Kluyveromyces lactis: one gene and its partner. The protein of the gene in region 2 binds, or shares a complex with, the protein of the main gene of each other region. Links are inferred from orthologs where the notes say so. Each region holds a gene or a part of one and is shown on either strand. Other genes may lie near its edges. The genes, in order: RCL1 and BMS1.

Region 1 (10,151 bases), on a different chromosome or scaffold from region 2:
CTTCAGGATTCCGATTGAATAAACCAAACATGACGTCGACGTTGTAGCAAGCTTGAGAAGAATCAAAAGGTCAGTCTCCGAAAAGTGATAGGACATAAACTGTCTCAGCTCCTTGTTTCGATTCCCAGTTTTGTCTGCAAGATGTTTCTCTTTGGATCATTTCACAGTTTTAAACCTTTTTTTAGTCTGTATAAACGTTTCGATATCTTTCAAGTTGCGTATAAGAAAAATAGAGTTTGATAAAATACATACATGGGAGTGTAGAAGAGTTATATCAAGGGAAAGCTGAAGTTCTGCTATGTCTAAGGTTGCGTAGTTGATGCTATATAGGTATACGTGCTAAGGCGGCGAGTTAAGAGAATAAATGAGTGCTATAGCATTGAAACTGGGTGCGTTGCTTGTACGGCAGGTTACACGACCAATGGCAAACGTGCTGAAGCGGCAAGCAAAAGAGCATGCTGTATTCAAGGAAATTTGCATCGGTTTGGCCCAGAAAATGCACGTTGCAGATGTTGTGTTGAGAAGCAAACTGACGCCAACTAAGTTTTCCAAAACGATTCGTCCGTTGAACGATACGAAAGCTGTTGAAAATGGTGCAACGTTGCTCAGCGAAGGCTTTGTATTTGGTGTTACGGGTAGTGTTGTAGTGTGGGAGACTTTAAGACAGCGTCAAAAGGAGCTGGATAGACGTGAACAGGTCACTCAAGATATTGCTTTTTTACAATCGGAAATCGAAGAACTGAGATCAACGACTAAGACCCAAAGCGACCAAATAAAATCATGTCAAAGTCTTAAGGAAGAACTAAAATTAATTCAGTCAAAACTCTCCTCACATAAATGAAAATACAAAAAGGATATTGGACCACCGATATTCTAACGGAACAAACTTGTATATAGTCCTATTCTGGAATGAATAAGTATTTGAGTATAGACGTAAACACAAGCTCTAATATTAACAGGTCATGAGTAAAAGTAGGAATTGGATTATAGATGTTACATATACATAACTGTTTAATAAAAATATGGAAATGGAATAGATGAGGGTTAAATTGCACTTTTGATATTTTGAGATAAGATAATGCGGTGAATTAGTAGTGTACCATCACGACAAGGGAAAAGAGAGGGGGGGGAAGTGGAGATGAAAATATACAACCCTTCACCCTGGGATATGATTACAGTTAGAGTCAAAAAGTAGAAGAAATATAATAATGAAATAACAATAGAGAGCTGTTTTTAAGCGCTTAGTCTCATTAAACTTCATTCAAATTGATACAATTTTCACGCTTCATTTATGCTTCTTTTCCACTTTCAACAACAAAGCCTTGTTGATATGAGGTAGAACACCACCAGAAGCGATAGTGGCTCTGATCAAGGAGTCTAATTCATCATCACCTCTGATAGCAAGTTGTAAATGTCTTGGGGTAATTCTCTTCACCTTCAAATCTTTAGCAGCGTTACCAGCCAATTCCAAAACTTCAGCAGTCAAATACTCAAGAACAGCAGTCAAGTAAATAGCAGCCTTGGACCCAACACGGGTTCTTCCAGCAGCATTTCTCTTCAAATAACGCTTCACTCTCCCAACCGGAAACTGAAGACCAGCTCTAGCAGAATGTGATTGTGATTTCAATGAACCACTGTCTTTGGCTCCCGACTTACCCTTTCCACCGTGTACTTTTCCTGACATGTTGTTTCTCCTATAATAACTTTAATATGCTCTTTCTTGCAATGTCTGATCGTATATATCTCAAACTTGAAAGCAAACAGCAGATTCTATCTTTTCTTAGTCCCTCTGGTCCAATATTCAACTTATGTGAAGTTAAGTTAAGTTAAGTTGATATCGATTTGTTTTTGTTTGTTTTGATGTTTATTTTTTATTTTTATTTTTCTGTCTGAAAGTTTCGTGTTTCCTCTCTTACTTTCATATTGTGAGATTTGCTACAAGTAATAAGATTTGGGGTAAGGGCTAGGAAGAACCGGGAGGGACGAAGGTATTTGAAATAATGAAGATATACAGGCATCGACATGTCTGGAGTTGTCAAAGGTGAACATACGGTTTGATTGGTCTAGCTTTGAAGTGCAGTTTGCCGCTTTCTTGATTTTTTTTTTTTTGCCGCCTGCTATTCTACCGGTTGTTTTTTTTTTCCTTTTCCCTCAGACGAGACAGCATGGCAGGGTAACTATTTATGAACTCGAGATGCTTGCAACCTTGTACCCTTAAAGAGCGTAGGAGCCACTGATGGATTTAAGAAACGTTCCGGCTCATTTCGAAGAACATATGGTAGTGGTGTTACTGCAATGATGGTATTTTCACTGTGTGTCCCCTTTAATTTTAAATGAGGGCCGGAATTCGTTTTTCGAATGGAATAGTAAAAGGGCTTTAAAGTGAATGCTTGACAACTGAGCATTTTCAGTTAGACTAATGTTCCAATTTTTGTACGTGCATCCGAAAATTTGTCTGTATTGCCAGCCTCTTTTACCTCCTTTCCTCCAACTAATAGGGGCTTCATGCAGCGTCTATTATAGGGGGAAGGGCATTTACTTAACAAAATTTTTGGAAACCCTTTGATAATAATGCACTTGTACCATTTCTTAGGTGCGTCGTTACTATGGTAATACATAGATTGTATTTTCCGTGCGTTTTTTTAGACATTTTTTTGCGGGCATGCGTGATGAATTCTAACTATAACAATCCTACACACTTTGCGTGAAGAAAAGTGGAAAATATAGAAGTTTAAATGCTCAGCTAATATTTTGTCATAAATCAATAAACTATGGAACCTGGTGAATATATAACAATGCTACCGTTTCTCTCATCTACATCTTGAGTCCTAACTCGACCCAATTAAGTTGATTTCCAAGTCCATAACTTAAAGCAGTTAAACAATCAGCTTTTACGATAGAAAGTCCACACTCGGTAAAATCAAACGATTATTTTATTGAATCTTTTGGAGTGTGTCACTTCTGTACATAGTATTATCGTGAAGGGCGCAGACATCAACTCTGAGTTAGGTTATCTATAGAATTGTTCCGAGTTAAAGATTAGTTTATTCCTTTTCTGATGTGGTTTTTGAACTCAGTTAATCTGTTGTTTCTGGTATGTTCGGTTGCCCTACATCTAGATGCCGTTAACGCATGGTCTCCGACAAATGGTTACGCTCCTGGTGTGGTCGATTGTGATGAGAATATAAACTTGGTTAGAAAAGCTGATGCTGTTTCAGATGATGAAGCGGATTGGTTGAAAGTTAGACACGAATCTACTGTACCAGCTTTGAAGGACTTCTTGCAGCGTGGTTTTAAGGGTTTTACCAATGACACCTCAATCATTGATAAACTGTTAGCGACCCAAGACACTGCTCCCAAGGTTGCTATTGCCTGCTCTGGTGGTGGTTATAGAGCAATGTTGAGCGGTGCTGGTATGATTTCTGCCATGGATAATAGAACTGACGGTGCAAATGATCATGGTTTGGGTGGGTTATTACAAAGTTCAACTTATTTGGCTGGTTTGTCTGGTGGTAACTGGCTCGTTGGGACTTTGGCCTACAATAACTGGACTTCTGTTCAAGCAATTATCAACAACATGACTGACGATAATAGTATTTGGGATATTAGTAATTCTATCGTCAATCCTGGCGGTATCAACATTTTTTCCAGTATTTCTCGTTGGGATGACATCTCAGACGCAGTGGAAGAGAAAAAAAAAGCCGGCTTCAACACATCTATAACTGATGTATGGGGCCGCGCCCTATCTTACAATTTCTTCCCATCATTGGACGAAGGTGGTGTGGGTTATACGTGGAATACCTTGAGAGATGTTGATGTTTTTAAAAATGGTGAAATGCCTTTCCCTATTTCAGTAGCTGTTGGTAGATATCCCGGTACTCAGGTTGTCAATTTGAATGCAACTGTCTTTGAATTTAATCCATTTGAAATGGGCTCCTGGGATTACACCTTACATACTTTCACCGATGTTAGATATGCTGGTACCAATGTTACTAATGGTACTCCAAACGTAACAGGAAAATGTGTTGCAGGCTTCGATAATACAGGTTTTGTTATGGGTACGTCCTCCTCCTTGTTTAACCAATTTTTATTACAACTTAACACTACTGATTTGCCATCTTTCTTGTACAACTTACTTCACGGATTCTTGACTGATGCTTCTGATGATTACGATGACATCTCGATTTGGGCACCAAACCCGTTCTACGAAATCACGAACATACCTTCTAATTATTCCCAATCCATCAGTGAAGATGATACATTGTATTTAGTGGATGGTGGTGAAGATGGGCAAAATATCCCATTGACACCATTGCTGCAAACTGAGCGGGAAATCGATGTTATCTTTGCTTTGGATAACAGTGCAGACACGGATCAATCTTGGCCTGACGGATTTTCATTGACTCAGACTTACGCTCGTCAATTTGGTCTGCAAGGGAAAGGCATTGCCTTCCCTTATGTTCCAGATGTGAACACTTTCACCAATCTTGGATTAAATACAAGACCTACCTTCTTTGGGTGCGATGCAAGAAATTTGACTGATCTAGAATCAATTCCACCTTTAGTAGTTTATATGCCAAACACAAGGGAGTCCTTCAACAGTAACACATCTACGTTTAAAATGTCGTACTCCACTTCCGAAAGGTTTAAGATGATCCAAAACGGTTTCGAAGCTGTCACCATGAAAAATCTCACTAAAGATGAGAACTTTATGGGGTGTATCTCATGCGCCATATTGAGACGGAAACAAGAATCACTAAATTATACACTTCCATCTGAATGTGATGCTTGTTTCGAAAAATACTGCTGGAATGGAACTGTCGATGCCACCACCCCTATCTCAAGCACTACATCCTCCTCTGCAAGTTCCACCTCAACATCTGATTCCGGCAATAAAGAAAATAGTGCCAGAATTTTGGCCCCAAGAAGTACGCTATCTTTGTTGATTGGAGGTTTAGCTAGTGTCTTCATCTCTTTCTAGTTTACCCATGAGTATCAAACTAAAACCAAAAAAATATATATGCATTGAGTTTTCAGATGTTCATGCAGATTCGTTCTTATGAATTCGTCATTGTACCTCCTTCGTTTCCAATTTCTCTAGATGATCTCCTTTGACCAATGACCAAATCATTGACAAGACTGGAGTATATAAAAGTATCTTGATATGATTCGTTAAAAAGTAATATAATAGATACAAACGATAAATGGTACCGAATTGCGTCGATCATTAGTGTACTTATTAAAGCGTCGTGTGAAGTAATGGTTTAATAAACTCTATTTTTTTTAAACTTTATTTGTCTCTGACGTGATTTTGAGTATTTAGATACTAAAAAATGAAAACTATCTTTAAATATTAAATATGCGACATGTCAGGTAGAAAAGGAAAAGTAATCTCGCATGCAAGTATGAGTCTCTATGTTATTTATCGAAAGGTTTATATTATATAAGTATGCATACTACAGAACATCTCGGAAACTCATATTATTCCTCAAAGTAACTGGAAATGCTAGTCTCTGATTCTAGCATATCCTTTAGTGATAACATTATTAACTCCTACTCGCCTATTTTCTAAAGCTAAAAGAAGGTCCCTCATAACGATGCCAGGTTCTTCTCTTGCTTCTCTATATTTGATACCCATTTCACCCCTTGCTGCAACAGCAGATGAAACATTTCCCTGATTTTTTAGGTCTGTCGAGCTGGACTTGGATCCAGCGGTCAACCAACTATATTTTTTTTTGTTACCCCCTGCAATCATCAAATTGGCAGTTGCATTTGATGCACGATATTGAGTCTCTTCAGTATCTAACCTAGCATCCGTTGTTTGTTTTTCTAAACCGAGTGCTATTCTTCTCTGTACTCTTCTTTCTTCTTGAGTCTTTTGTCTTAATGCTAAATCCCTCAAAGAACGACTCACTTCACTCCTCCTTCCCGTGTTTAGTTTAACACCTTTCCGTCTATGTATGGATAGGATTAAAGAGTTCGTTATCACGTCCCTCATGTAAAGTTCACATGCAGTAGACATTAATCCGAGTATATCAGTGTTTTTATTGAAATCTTGATGAAAGTTTTGTTCTGATGCAATTCTTTTCATGAAATCTGAAATGTTCTTAGGATGTAGGAATGGAGGATGAGATGGGACCTGGTTATTTGCTGAAATACCGGTTGCTTTTGTTCTAGCAACTGTGCTACTTAGCAATGCCTCTTCCTCTCTTATATCAACACCGGCCGATAACAAAGCATCACTAAGCTTGTCTGGATCACTTTGCTGTGGTTTTGTAGTTGAGGCAGTCGTACTACCTGTTGAACCCCCGGCATTCTTCTTCTGTTCTGCTTTCTGTGATTGTTTGCTTGTCGTACTCGTCGTCTTCAAATTTGGCGTACTTGAGTTTCGCGGAGATGCTAGGTTTGTAGTTGGAGATGATGCTTTAGGTAGAGCTAATGGCTGTTCTGTAACCATAGTATCGAATGGCGTAGGCAGATCACTGCCAAAATCTGAGCCACTGGGTTCCAGCCCGTTCTCTACTTTGCCAAATTCGAATGATTTGGAACGTTTATTTGAAGATAAATCTTCCGGTTCAGAATTCTTTCTCTTGGGCGATTTTGCCATCGTATTTTATACTAATTAGACCAATAGTGATAGTTTTCTCTGGTGAAACACGGGGGTAAAAAGAATCGTATTGGATACTTGAGGACACCTATTGCACTTGTCCCAAAAATGCAGGCAAATAAACTATGAAAAGAATAAGTCAATCTTTAAAAACAGGTCCAAATGCGGCCTATCAATTAAAATCCAGTTTCAGCGAAAAACGTACAACCTTAATGATTTCAACAAAGATAAAAAAACGTGCGAGTATTAAACATTATGCTAAAAAGTTCTATCTAGTTCCTACCTCTTTCTTCATTTAGATGCTATTGTTTGCTGGCTTTGATTTTTTCAAGATTGAAAGATCACATAATCCGGGTAACGAAGCTCATTTCTTTTCCTTGCAAAAAATTTGTCAAAAGCGTATCTCATCTCATCTCATCGCCTAACTGAACATACAACACAAAACCAATATCGAAAGGTTTCAGTTAACTTCCATCAACCATTCCATTAGCGTCCGATAGAAGGTCACTTTCTGTATTAAAAACTCTAAAGAGATTTATCAGGAAATTTATTCCTCACGAAGTAGGACAGACAAACAGACAAATTGGACATGTCATCCTCTTCCAGATACGTAACCTTTGAAGGTTCACGGAACTTTCGTTTACGAGTAGTAATGGCTACATTGTCAGGAAAAGCTATAAAGATAGAAAAGATACGTTCTGATGACCTAAATCCGGGTTTAAAAGATTACGAAGTCTCTTTTCTAAGATTGATGGAAGCGGTAACGAATGGTAGTTCAATAGAAATTTCATACACTGGTACCACCGTCATCTTCAGACCAGGAATAATTACTGGTGGTTCATACACACATCAATGTCCGAACAGTAAACCTGTGGGCTATTTTGCCGAGCCAATGTTGTATTTAGCCCCCTTCTCAAAGAAGAAATTCTCAATCCTATTCCGTGGTATAACATCTTCACATAATGATGCTGGAATAGATGCGATAAAATGGGGGTTGATGCCGATTATGGAAAAATTTGGCGTCAGGGAATGTGCATTACATACTTTGAAGAGAGGTTCACCTCCTTTAGGTGGTGGTGAAGTACACCTTGTTGTGGATTCATTGATTGCACAACCGATTACAATGCACGCCTTGGATAAAACAATGATTTCAAGTATAAGAGGTGTTTCATACTCCACAAGAGTCAGTCCCTCCCTTGTAAATAGAATGATTGATGGTGCGAAAAAAGTTCTTAAATCTGCTAGTTGTGAAGTAAATATAACTGCAGATGTATGGAGAGGTGAAAACTCAGGTAAAAGTCCAGGTTGGGGTCTAACGCTCGTAGCAGAGAACAAACAAGGATGGAGAATCTTTTCTGAAGCTATCGGTGACGCTGGGGATGTTCCAGAAGATATTGGTGCATCCGTAGCCTATCATCTACTTGAAGAAATAAGCAAAAGTGGAGTTGTTGGAAGAAACCAGTTGCCACTTACAATTTTATACATGATCATCGGTAAAGAAGATATCGGAAGACTCAGAATCACTAAGGATCAAATAGATGAAAGATTTGTATGGCTCTTACGGGATATCAAGAAAGTTTTCGGTACAGAAATACTCTTGAAGCCAGTGGATGATAACACTACGGATCTAATCGCAACAATCAAGGGTATTGGATTCACAAACACCAATAAGAAAATCGCATAATTGACATTACATATCATTTTATCTGACAAAATGACTCCCATAAGTATTCATATATAAAATTTATATGCATATGTGTCAACACAAATTCCTTCGCGTAGCACTTATTATTATCGTATCAAACAATTCCATAAAGCTTGGAACATTCAAGATAAATATTGTAGGATAGTTTTAGTGTCTTTGCAGGGGCATATCGCGGAGCTTTTTGCAAATTTTTTCCCAATTGTCAACATTGTTATTAGTGTATCTCAAATTTATTTCAATCCACCTCTGGAAGCAATCTGTAATCAAGAATTGAGTTTCATGGAATATTGTGAATTCCTCCAATATACACTCCCTGATCAACCAGCTTCGGTTCATTTGATCGAGTATGCTTCTTTTATCTCTGGAGATGCTCTGTTTTACACGATCATATTCTGCTCCTTTCACATCAGGGTTGCTTTCCAAAGTGTTCAATCTTTCTTGATTTATTTCTACCCTTCTTTGTAACTGAGGAATATTGTTACCTGCCATCATCTTATATCTCTCAAACAATCCTTTCAACGCTATAATAACGTCAATGAAAGCCTTGAATCTAACCGAGAGGCCACTGTCGACTTCCTCGTTTTCTCTTTCTATGACATCTGCACATGAATTCAAATGCTCTACTATCAAACCAACACCTTCGTTTATTTGAGAAACTGTTGCAGTGGATTGTGGATACAATGCTTCCGTTGTGTCTGGAATAGCATTAAGGATTTGTCCTAATAATTTTCTTTCATGGGCAACTTGTTTCATCCTTTTCTCGTATCTTTCTATTAAAACAGTAACTTTAACCCATGTATCCAATGCAATATCAATTCTTTCGTCTGCTTTATTCCATTGTTCGGAAAATTCCTTCCTCCATAAATTCATGAATGAAGAAGATATATGCTTATCAGTAAATTCATCTGTTGTATCGTAATGCGCTTGTTTTCTCCAGCCCGAAAGATCTGTTGGAACGGTCAAAAATGTGAGAACCAAGTCATCACTTCTCAAGACAGGATGTTTCATAACCAAATTGATGAAACGGCTCAAGCCTTTCCTTCTTTTCGCCAAAAATAAAGGGTCTGCGTTCTGAGAGCCGATCTTTTTTGGAGGTAGTTCTGGGACCATTCTAAATGGGTATTTTCTTAGTAATACATCTTGTAGCCAATCAAAATCAGAATACCTTCTCACCACTGTTCTATCATCCGAGGGATCCGTGTTTGGCAAAGGTGTGAGATGCTTGACCAAATAATTAGTGTGCTTGAACACTAGCCCTTCCCTTTCAGGAATTTCTTCTACACTAACGATATCTTCTGCTAGTGGGAAATATGTCTTTCTTACGGACTCAACCCAGTTCTTATACTCGTCGTTTGCAGCATACTGCGGTGTGTCGGTAGCCTGAAAACGATTCACGCCTCGAATATCTGTCTCTTGTGTAGTACTTCCAATGTTTGGACGGTCCCATAAAACATCATTTTGATATACGTTGGAAGCGGTACCCCTAACAATGTTATCACCATTACTGAATATGTTCACTCCAAGATAATCGTCATTCACACGTTTGTTTGCTTCTTGCTGTAGTGAATCAGCTGAGTATGATTTTAAAGCATTAACAGATGAATTATCAGGTTCCCACACAGATCCACTGATATTGTTGCCGTTTTCTTCAGAATTTACTCTCCAGGGATCAGCCTCTAAATCCATGTTTCTACCGAAATATTACGAGATAATCTCAACTGTTCTTACCACACCTCTGTTGAAAAAAATGAAAATGCCAATAATTGTTTCTGCGGAATGGAGTTGGTAGATTACTACTTAACACGATCAACAAATTGATTTGCCAGCTCTCTTTTTGTT
Region 2 (11,678 bases):
ATACCGCCGATTCTAAAAAAGTGCGGTTCGCTGAAGGCAAAAACAGGATGACCGTGGAACAGCTATTGGAAAACACTAGTAACTTGAATATGTTCTTTGAAAATAATATAGAAAAAATTACGGACTTCAAATCCGGTTTGGATGTACAGGAATGGTATAGAAGTACAACGCCAGATACTCCGACAGGCATAAGTGCGAAAGCTACCGCGTCAGCGGGATCTGCATCTAATTTCCAGCTCAGTGAAGCTGGGGATAGAGACAATTCTACTGCGGGTGGCTTGGAGTCCGATCAAGAGAGTAATGTTTTCGATCGTCGGCTTTCAAATCTGTTGGCAACGACCTCGGTTTCCGATTATAAGTTGAACAACGAAGATAACAATAACTCTCACAACGAGCTGAATGGATTACCCAAATCTTTCCCCCTGGAAAAAATAGATGACCAAAGGGATAGTACACTTCTTATACATTCGTTACTGAAAACAAATTTAAACAATAATGAGGTGTTTGGTTTAGAAATGACATCCAGAGAAGCCTTACAAATACTCGATGATTTCCTGCAACTCGCTCTCCTATTGTCTTCTGATATGCGTAAGAATGCTGAGAATGGTATGACAAATCATGAAGGCGAAGTTAATGATAATAATGATGATAATGCTGATGATGATGATTCTGATAATAATAATAATAATAATAATAATAATAATAATAATAATAAAAATAAAAATAATAGTAACAATAATAATGCCAGTAGCGATGGCGATAATATTAACAATGATGATAATGACAATACTAATGATGAGAATAATAATCAAAATAATAATGATAACAATAGAAATAGTGATATCGGTGGCGACACTTCTAATGACAATGATAATTTGCATAATGAGCCCTCTGCGACCAAGTCAAAAACCGAAGATGACATAGAAATGGAGATAGATCATTGGTCTCATGAGAACCTCGAAGAAACTTCCAATATTAGAGCAATCTTTCAGATGAAATCAGCTCCTACTCTCTCCATATCCCAATATCTCGATAGAATCGAATCCAAATGTTCATTCCCGCCAATTATCTATTTGACAGCATCCTTCTTGTTAGTTACCTATTGCGACATAAAGTTCGACACTGGAAGTGGAAAATTTCATCTAGAAAACCCGATCACGGAATCCATGACGCATCGTTTGCTCATTGCATTCATCCGTTTGGCTGCCAAGTTACTTGAAGATCATGTACACTCCCATTCGTACTTTAGTAAGGTGTGTGGTATCTCTAAGAAACTTCTTTCTAAATTGGAACTGAATTTAGTTTTAATTCTACAAGACACCCAAGACGGTCTTCTTATCACTGAGCTTTCAATAAAAACTGTACTCGCACTACATGAGCATATAAACCTGAGCTGATGGTCGCCATTGTAATTTCCGGCGCACTCTTGCATCAACTGTATTTGCATAAAAGGAAGCAGTTACTTTTAGCACAAATTGATATTTCTAATGAAAAAACAACAACAAGCAAATCTAAAAAGTTGCAATTTCCATACACCTCCGTAATAACTGATTCCAAAGCTCTTTCATAAACGCACGTTCACATCCTGCATTGCTCTTTTATACCAAGTTATATTCACATAGTTGTAATGTGTAATCTTATATCAATCGTATCAAGTGATTTCAATTAATAGGAAGATCAAGAAACATTTGACCGTTTTACGAAAATGAACAGATTGGTCTTTCAAAAGAACAAAGGCAGGCATATTTTAAAAACAAAGTTTATGATCTTCATTTAGTTACTGTTAGTTAGTAATTCGACTTAAAAATTACGGCACTTTAAGCTACTAATTCTTTATTGACTCTTCATTTGTTGTACGGAAAATACAGTAAAAGATGGCAGGCTGGGATTTATTTGGATGGTTCAGGGACATTCTATCATCCCTAGGATTATGGAACAAGCATGGTAAGTTATTGTTCTTAGGTTTAGACAATGCTGGTAAGACTACCTTGTTACATATGTTGAAGAACGATAGATTAGCTACTTTGCAACCAACTTGGCACCCAACTTCTGAAGAATTGGCGATCGGTAATATCAAATTCACCACTTTTGATTTAGGTGGACATTTGCAAGCACGTAGATTGTGGAAGGATTATTTCCCAGAAGTTAATGGTATTGTGTTCCTAGTGGATGCTGCTGACCCAGAGAGATTTAACGAAGCACGTATTGAATTGGATGCTTTGTTCCAAATCAAGGAATTGGACAACGTTCCATTTGCTGTCTTGGGTAACAAGATTGACTCTCCAAGTGCCGTTTCTGAAACTGAATTGAGAGCTGCATTGGGTTTGATGAACACAACTGGATATACCAAAATTGAAGGTCAAAGACCTATCGAGTTGTTCATGTGTTCCGTTGTCATGAAGTCTGGTTACTCTGAAGCCTTCAAGTGGCTATCTGAATATATTTAAGTAGTTAAGCAAGCGCTACTAACGATATATAATAACTGCAAATATCACCTAATAAGCATGGAGAAGAATAACTATAATCATATATGCATAAAATACTTAGCTATGTTTCAGAATCTCATGGTCTCTTAGAATTGCATTAACATAGAAAATCTCCAGCTCAGAATCAACTCCAAATGCGACTCTTAACTAATACAGTAGTTCATTTTGGTTCTTAACAATTACTTTATACTCTATCATTCAAATTATGCAATGTAAATAGGTTAAAATACATAGTTTATTTCCTTTTCTTGGAAGACATAACATCACTTGTGTCATTGTCGTTGAATTGTCTTTTTTTACCGTTTTTGGAGAAGAAGTCCTTCTTACGTTGCTTCTCCTTTTCTTTCTTCGATTCCTCCAACTTAGCAAGCTTCTTGAGTCTTTCCTTCCTTTCTTCAGCTTTCTTGGATCTCTTCTTTTCATCCTTCGCATTCGAAATGGTGAGAACCTTTTGCATGAAGGAACGTGCCTTTTTCTCTTCGCCGCCTAGAACGACAGCTCTCTTAGCCATGTATGTTTTCTTCTTTTGCGGTTTCATTTGATAGATCTGGGATTTGAAAGGTAAGTCTTTGGCAACAGATTTTGGTACCTTTAAACCGTTGAAGTTCCTTTCAACTCTTTCAACCTTCTTATATGTACTGTCATTGTTGGTCGGTAAATCGATTCCAAGAGATGCTCTAATTTGACCAGTTAGTCTCAAACCCTTCCATTCAGTTTTATCTTTTAGCAACAATGAAGTAACTGGGTTGTAGAATTTCTTAACTTGGATTGGATACCATGACCTAAGAATTATAATGTCACTCAATAGTATCTTATCCTCAAAAGTTGCCCTGAAATGGCCTTCTGGTTTTGATAGAGCACGCTTGATTTCACCACGAATACCGGAAACAGTCTTGATTTGGGCACCTTCGAACCGTGCAACTTCCATAGCGCTAGAGAACATATCCTTTATGAAGGCAGTGTTCTTGAAGATTTTGTAAGGATAACCAACAAGCTTTAATTTCTTCACAATTTCTACGCTTGCATCGATCTCCTCTACAATACCAGTCGCAGCTATTCTGAAACTTCCAGTTGTATCACTGTTAGCAACTATTTGAACACCACAGAAAGTGGTATTTGGCGAGCACAAGGGACCATAGAAAGAAGCTGTACAATAAGCATGTTCTGGAGTATACTTCAACATTCTAGTCCTGGTTCTAGAGTCACTAGTGGTGTATATTGGTAGAGTTTGGAAACGTCTCCAACCAAGAGATAAAACTAAAGGATCATTTGTCTTGAGAATCTTTTTGTGCCAACGATGTCTTCTGACTCTTGCATTAATAATTCCGAACTTCAATTCTGTGGGAAGAAGACCTCCCATAATTACTGGATACTTTGGGTTGAAATTTTCGATGAATTCCATAGGAACCTTATCGAAGACAATACGAACATAAGACCCAGCTTTCATACCTTCGATTTGTTGCCTTTGTTCAGGAGTCATAGATTCCAGTTCGGCTTTATTGATTTCTAATTGTTTAGCAATCTTAGCCTTCTGTAATTCGTACCAGGTATCGTATTCATTTTCAGGGTCTTCTCCAAAGTTGTCTCCTTCTTCCATTTCGAATTGTAACCTTAATTTCTCTTTTTTTGCGGCATTCAATTCACGCTCTTCATCCTGGGTCAAATCCTTCTTTTCTTCTTCTTCGAAATCAGCGAACGATTCGTTGCTATCAGATTCTTCATCTCCTGCAGCAGAATTCTCCTCCTTCTCATCTGTGTTTTCAGGCTCAGCTTCTAAGTCCTCAAAATCACCGTATACTTCATCTTCATCATCGTCTTCATCCTTTACATCATCAGAAGACTTGGTGTTTAAGGATGGCTTTCCAACAAATCTGTCTTTGATTGAATCGGCAGTTGACCATCTTTCAACAAGGTCATTGAATGTATCAAAATAAGGAATAAATCTTTCAAGATCATCGTGGTAAGTTACTGCCTTATTCGGTGTAGTATTTGTCTTTTGGGTGAAGAATTCAGTATCTTCATCGTCTTCTAGATCTTCTTCAACTTCAGTTTCGTCGGCCTCGCCGTTCCATCTTTTGATTGCATCAGCTGGAGCAATGTTGTCCATGTAGATAAGTTTGCTGATATCCCACTTTCTTCTTTTATTCTTTGTACCATTCAATTTACCAGCTGTGGTTCTTTCCCAACCTTCAGAATCAGATGCATCCAATTCTGAATCTGTCTCAAAGGCCATGTTTTCAGGTTTTTCGTCATCAAAATCAATTTCAACTAATTTAGTGCGATGTGCTTCATCTTCGTCATCATCTTCATTATAGTTTTCGTTGTCACTTGATAAATTATCGAGATCTGCGTTAGATTCCTGAAGGGATTTGCCGTATACTCTTGCCTTTCTTAAGGAAGATCTACCAACGTTTCCTCTATCAACATCATCCTCGTCTTCGGTGTCTTCTTCAACTTCTTCATCCTGATCTTCAATAGCATGTAACTCAGTACTATTTGAGAAAAGCTGCAATCCAACATTCTCGAATTTTTCATCAATGGAACGAGATGTAGCCTGTAGGTTGGACACGATCTTGTCACTTTCATCTTTTTCCTCTGCAGTCATTGAGTTTGGACCTGTCTTACCGCCAACATCAATGAACACGGCATCCTTATCCATAAGTAAACCACCAACGTCAGACATTGGAGCATAGATCAGCTTTTGTTTATCATCCAATCTTTTACGTCTTCTTACAGTCGTTGCTGATGTGGAACCTTCTTCCTTAGCACGTTCACGTTCAAATTCATCTAATTTCTGTTGGTAATAAGGTGTCGGACAAGGATCAGGCAATTTCTCAACGTGATCGATCTGGTAGTCACCTACACCGGCGATATGGACCCTGTAGCCTGGAGTCGAAGGTAACGGAGTACCGTGTAAATAACCATAGATGGCGACTTTACGATCTATATGCATACCCTTCGATTGTAAGAGTTCTGGATGAGTTAAATCGGATATTCTATCGGCCAATAAATAAGGATGTTCGTTTCTCCATTGCAAAGGTCTGAACTTCATAACACTTATAAACCTTGACAAGTTCAAAATCTCTCTATCTGGATAACGACCGTTAATAACACCAGAAAGGTAGAAAAGCTTGGCACCCTGATACACTTCGGTCCAGAACCTATGTTTCAAAGATTTCTTAGAGGCACGCAATGTTGACTGGGATTTGAAAAGATCCAAATGTGTAGCGACACCTAGTACACGAGGCATACCATGATGTTGAGCCAAATTCAAGAATTCCATGGTCTCCATTTCAAACCCGAAATTACCATCCATCATCAAAAGCACCAAATCGGCCACTTTTGAAATATCGATCATGGAATTCAAATCATCCGCAGGACATTCGATAAAAGTCAGCCTTCTACGCTTACCAGAAACAACAGTAATAGGACCGTTAATTTCGGATAAAGTGGTCTTTGTCAACCTTCTCACTAACGATTTGATCAAAGTAGTCTTACCGGTACCTGGAGGACCAACAACAGCAATAATGATCGGAGGAGGATCATCATCTGGGGTACGATCCACCATCGGAACATGCAACTTCTTCTCATTCTTATCACCCGTACGTTGCATCTGCTTAGCCATTTTCCCCGGAGCGGAGACAGCAAAGGCCTTAGCATTGTGGCCCTGAGAATGTAACTTCTTCTTGGCACCAGCCTTCTCCTTCCGCTTCCTATGTTCTTTATTCGATTGTTCCATTGCTGAAGCTTGAGAGTCTTAAGATGTATTCAGGCAATGTGATTCGAACTAACTGGCCTAAAGTGACCCTTTTGATTCAATTCAAGATACTAGAATCTTTTATGTTCACCGATGAGATGAGATGAGATGGTTGAGCTTCTTCATGCAATTTTTCATGCAGGGTAAGAAAAAGAAATGATCTGAACCTTGTCGATATCTAATCACGTGATTCTGCACGTGATCTGATTTTTAAGAATTTAAGGTATTCTGTCAGTTTTGTAGATATTCCTACATGTCTCTGCCGTAGTAACTAGGGCCCAAGGGCATATGGAAAAAAAAGCGTTCATCGAAATTCGAACATCAAAATGAAATCGAAATCCAATCAAATGCACAAACAGAACAGGATAGAACAAAGGTCAATGAATCAACGGTTGGATTCCGAATAAAAGTCGTTTGTTTCATTCGTTTCCCTAAAAGTTGTTGTGTTTTTTATCTTTAGTTCGTTTGTGTGGTGATTTGGATTTCACAACAAGAACTGTACGTTCTACACCAGTTATATTGTTGTGGATACGAGACAACATCTTTTGGTCATAGAAAACACATACTGTTCTTATTCTTTCCAATCTGTGTGCGTGTAATTTTTACTGAGTTGAAGCAGGAAAGCTAGGATAACAGAGTCTTCAGTGGTGTGTGTTTCCTTGTTGAGCTTTTTATTTTTTGGATAGAATACACAGTGTGAGCAATGGTTTTGTATAAAAGGAAAACGATAACGTTGCCAGATGCTAGGCCATTACCGTCAAATATCAATAGGAAAATATGGTACATTCAAGAGACAGGGGAATGGTTTTTGACTTATGCAGAGTTTTTGCAACGATTGGATTTTTATAGGCGACATTATTTCACCTGTGAGATCACTGGTACATCATGTTTAACTTTTTTTGAAGCGTTGAACAGTGAAGAAGAGCAGTTCCAATACGTTGAGAAAATGTTCCCTTTAAAATTACGTGAACCTGTTGCAAAATTCATCCATTTCAACGAGATTAGAAGGCTAGATATGCTCGTCGAACAGGTATATGCAAGATTTAAAAACGACTATTTCCCTGGAGAAACGGTATACCTACGGAAAAGTAAGCAAGATTCCTCACATGACGATGCTGAAAAACATCATCAGCACTCACATGGATCACAGCATCAAAAAATTTACATTATCAAAGAAAAGGCTCAGTTTAATGCAGTTATAGATAGAGATACAAGGCAAGAATTGGTTCCTGCCCATGCAAAATATATGTTACAGGAAGCACAAGGTAGTACTTCAATCGTTGCCGATGAGGATCAGATTTATCGTGATAGATCATGTTTCACTAAGCATTTGATTAAATGTTTCTGTAAGATAACGTTGCGTCGTGCTTCAACTAAGATGGGTGCCCCATGGTGTGTGAAAGATGAATATTTGCCCATCTATAATTTAACCTTAACGTGGCCAGAAAGTATGCTAAAATACAAGGAAGATTACGTAGATCCGCAGTATTTGCAACAACTTCAACACATGGCGGAACTTAATCGAGAAAGAGAAGCTTCGGCAGCCATTGGTGAGCATAAACGAGAAATTGAAATTGCTAGAACAGAAACACCAGATCAGAAAAGAATAAAAACTGAAGAACTGATATCTGAATCCTCACCTTCGGTTGACCATACCAGTAACGACAATAATCAAATAACCAATGGCGATCAACAAAGCATAACGCAAATCACTGAAGATTTGGAAATACCTTTCATGGCACCAAGGCCTTCAGCTATCAACGATGCACTTTTAAAATACTCTAAGGAGTATGTGCCAATCTCAAATTCTCTCGATAAACCATTTGCGCATGATATTGGTAAACTCCTTCATTGTTATCAGTTTTTAATGGCATTTAATGCGACCCTTCAACTTTCGGAATTTAGTTGGGATGATTTTGTAAATTCTTTGAGATTTACTGATCCGCGCCAAATGATGGACGAGTACGTAACGATTAGTTATGAGGACGGTACGGGTACTAAGGTGGAAAGAATTAATATCTGGAATGAATCGATATATAAATATATTGACTCTTCAAATTCAGAAAAAATGAAGTTCACCTTGTCCTTGGACACTATGATAAATGATGACTATTTGGACGAGTTGAAAATAACAGGTACTTCCTTGATAGTGGAGTGTTTTTGTTCACTGTTAAGGTTGTTCATAGACACCAGTGGGGATTGGACGACATTAGTCCCTTCGGAGTGGCTTGAGGAGGACACGGACGAAAATTCGAGTGAAAATGAAGATTTAGAGATGGAAGAAAACGACGAAGTTAGTGCTGATCTTGAATCGTTATTAGAGAAGTGTTTAAACTATCGAAAAGTAAAATGGACAGACAGGCTTTCTAAGAGGCAATTTAACAATGGTTTCTGGTTGATAGTTCTCTTAGGTGTTCTCCAAGACTTCATGCATTTACCAATGTATAAATCGACAATTCAAGGCTTCATCAAAAATCTGGTGCCGTCTGAGCACACCCCGTCAAATATTTCCTTGAATAGGTACTTATGGAGAAAGTTTTGCAAAGATATTTCTGTTGAGGAGAAAGTTAACATTATGTGGATATTAGTTGAAATATTGAGCAACTACTCATCAATAATAAGATCTGCAATGGATGATTCAATGGAACTTTGTAACCAAATTAGAAGTGAGAGGTTTAGATTGAATAGGGATCTTAAAGCATGTTCTAATACTGTTGCTGGACTAAAAGAACAATTTACAGTTTCTGAGTTGCAACAATCTGAGAGCAGTAATGATAATATCGAACTGAAAGAAAACCTAAAAAAAGCAACAGATCAACTGGAACGGTTCCAAAGGAGGAAAAGCTTTTTTGATGCTAGGTTGATTGAAGCTGATCTTCAAAGACTAAAACCCTTGGGATATGATAGATATGGTAACAAAATCTACTGGTTAGAATATTGCGGAGTTCCTAGGCCGAACATATTCTCGAAGGCTTCACACTTATTAAGCAATAGATTGTGGATCCAAGGACCTGTCAAAGAAGCTGTGCTATACTACTTCAAGATAACGGAAGAAGAGTACAATCAATGGATTTCTTTAGCTAACGAATTGGGTAAAATTCAAGCCACCAAACAGGTTTTCCATGTTTATCGCGATGAGAAAGGTTGTTATTTCCACTACGATAAAGAGGGAGATATCATGTTGATAAATGAAGAAGGTGTTTTCAATACGTTCATTGAACTTTCGCCACTTCAAAGAAAAATTATTGATGAGACACCGGAAGGTCTTTTGTTTACTCCTAATGACTGGATATTCTTGCAAGATCCTGAACAACTCATTTCGATGACTAATTGGTGGGACAGCTGGGGAAAACGAGAACATGAAACACTGAAACAGTTGCAATCAGTTATGGAGCCGGTGATAGAGACATTAAATCAATATAAGACTCAAGTTCAAGACGAAGTTACTGAAAAAAGAGAATTGTTACTGAAAGAGATTGCGGCTTTGGAAATAGCGGATAACGAATTAAGTGTAGATGATACAGTGGACGACAGAGATGAGTCTGATATAGAAGGCGAGTTAGAGAAGATTGCACAAGATATAATGGCTCTTGATGACTCATCTAAGACTCGTAAGATTCTTCTGAAACTGGAGCAACTCGAAGCACAGCGTGACGAGTTATTGGCAAAGAAAAAAGCGTTGGATGGTAAAGAGACTGAAAATGGTGCCAAGATGTCAAGGTTGCAAAGGAAATCATTACGTGCATCTCGTGACAGAAAAATGACCGTCCTCAAAAAAAGCTTTGATAAGCTTTTAAACCTACAAAGAGAAACAGAACGCATTTCAATCAACAACTGGACGAATAGAAAAGCCATTGAAGCTTTCGGTAGTGAATTAGCCAAGTGCAACGGTAATCCAAAGACTTCAAAGAATCCCGAACCGGTTACTGTCAGTGACACATTCGCAGAAATCCTAAGACAAGCAGTGATCGCAGAGAGCGAGCCGGTAAAAGAAGAGACCGAAGACAGCAATGCAAATGCAGAAATACAGCCAAAAACTATACAAGACGAAAATTCCGCATGAATTGTGTCCGCCTGTATAGAATATATATATATATATGTATATAGTTTCATAACGAACCGATTATCAATTGTACTATAAAACCGTCAGCCAACTTCATCATTAATCACAAAATACGACTCTCATTAAACTTCAACTTTCTTTTTTTCCTAAAGTCTGAAAAGTGTAAAAGTTAAATTCAATCAAGATGAGCTAGTTTATAAGTCTGAACTGAGTTGAACACAGTCGCAGAGATCTTTGTCTCGCAGTTCTCCGTTGTTTTCATACTACCCTGATTACGATTCTCAAGCTTAACGGATCTCGATAATTGTTTCATTGTCTAACTTGTGTAGAGAGCAAGTTATTGAAAAAGTTTAGGAGAGACCGAAAAGAGGAAATATTTAACAATGCTTTCTAGTATAAGACCGGGTACCGTGGTTCTATCTCGTACTTTCAAGCAGAGCTTGGCTAGCTATAGGGGTGTTACTGCTGTTAGTTTGTATTCTACAAATAATTCTGCACAAAAGTCCGATTCAACCAAAGAAACCACATCCACTGAAAAGGGCAAAAGCGTTGCACCAGAAGACGTTAGAACTAAGAGACGTGAATTATCCAGTTCCAAGTACGAATCTGCATCATATCAACTTCCAAAATGGAAAGAAGCTCTTGGTGAATTTGTTATTAGTACGCTTAATTTGGATATGGATAAAGTTAGAGCCGGTCCAATTGCTGGTTCATACTATTACTCGATCTGTAAAGAACAAGGTCTTCAATATGAGGATGAACCACTTTCTAAGACAGCCAAGTTCTTTTACGAGGATTTGAAGTTGCCAAAGACATTCTCCCAATGGTACCAAATTACTATCCTACATGAATGGATGTTATTCGTGAGAATGAGAGCTATGCCGTTCAAATACGGCAAGAATTATCAGCAGAAGTTGGTGGATAGAACATTTGCCGATATCGAAAAGAGATTGTATGACGAAATGAACGTACATTCCGGTAGAATAACAGATCAATATCTAAAAGATTTCAATTCTCAACTTCGCGGTGCTGTATTTGCTTACGATGAAGGTTTCTTCTCCGGAGATGCCGCTCTTGCGTCAGCTATCTGGAGAAATTTGTTCGGTGGTAAGAAAAATATTGATATGGTGCACTTGGAAGCCATGGTAAGATACGTTCGTGCCCAACTATACGTCTTAAGCAAACTTTCAGATAGGGAATTTGCCATGGGTGAATTTAAGTTTGTTCCTCCAGACGAATCAGTAGAAATTTTAACACCAGAACAAGAGAAGTCCTTGAAAGAAAAGGTTGTCGCCAAGTATGAAGCTGTTGATGCTAATCCAAACGCTCTACCCAGTGAAAAAAGTAAGTTTTCCTACACCAACTAGTGAGA

The links.
Region 1: the proteins of BMS1 (region 2) and RCL1 are in contact, whole or in part, in a crystal structure (PDB 4CLQ), measured with the Saccharomyces cerevisiae proteins. The link is inferred for Kluyveromyces lactis from reciprocal best matches to the Saccharomyces cerevisiae genes BMS1 and RCL1. Residues at the interface, in NP_015107.1 of Saccharomyces cerevisiae: Ile549, Gly550, Leu552, Ile553, Tyr554, Met555, Asp556, Ile558, Ser559, Pro560, Glu561, Cys563, Ile564, Trp567, Arg568, Val606, Asp607, Leu608, Glu609, Lys610, Phe611, Val612, Pro613, Tyr614, Phe615, Asp616, Phe618, Leu621, Ala622, Lys624; in NP_014633.1 of Saccharomyces cerevisiae: Ser14, Gln15, Asn16, Phe17, Arg18, Leu19, Glu49, Lys94, Tyr98, Glu101, His125, Asn126, Asp127, Ala128, Ala132, Leu137, Arg185, Pro186, Ile187, Ile188, Ile191, Val215, Asn218, Leu219, Gln220, Cys221, Tyr256, Phe257, Glu259, Glu270.

Annotation. Positions count from the first base shown.
Region 1 is NC_006039.1:521,710-531,860, forward strand, and holds RCL1 (rRNA-processing endoribonuclease), read left to right. Parts: upstream 1-7,196; coding exon 7,197-8,291; downstream 8,292-10,151. Other genes in the region: E3 ubiquitin-protein ligase HRD1, read right to left, coding at 1-31; KLLA0_C05896g (OPA3 family protein), read left to right, coding at 365-841; HTZ1 (histone H2AZ), read right to left, coding at 1,286-1,684; PLB3 (lysophospholipase), read left to right, coding at 3,059-4,981; TAF4 (Taf4p), read right to left, coding at 5,507-6,607; MVP1 (Mvp1p), read right to left, coding at 8,460-9,998. UniProt on the Saccharomyces cerevisiae protein: Does not have cyclase activity. Plays a role in 40S-ribosomal-subunit biogenesis in the early pre-rRNA processing steps at sites A0, A1 and A2 that are required for proper maturation of the 18S RNA. RCL1 activates BMS1 by promoting GDP/GTP exchange.
Region 2 is NC_006038.1:176,772-188,449, forward strand, and holds BMS1 (GTPase BMS1), read right to left. Parts: upstream 6,226-11,678; coding exon 2,722-6,225; downstream 1-2,721. Other genes in the region: KLLA0_B02024g (uncharacterized protein), read left to right, coding at 1-1,397; Arf family GTPase SAR1, read left to right, coding at 1,875-2,447; KLLA0_B02090g (uncharacterized protein), read left to right, coding at 6,947-10,306; CBP3 (Cbp3p), read left to right, coding at 10,690-11,673. UniProt on the Saccharomyces cerevisiae protein: GTPase required for synthesis of 40S ribosomal subunits and for processing the 35S pre-rRNA at sites A0, A1, and A2.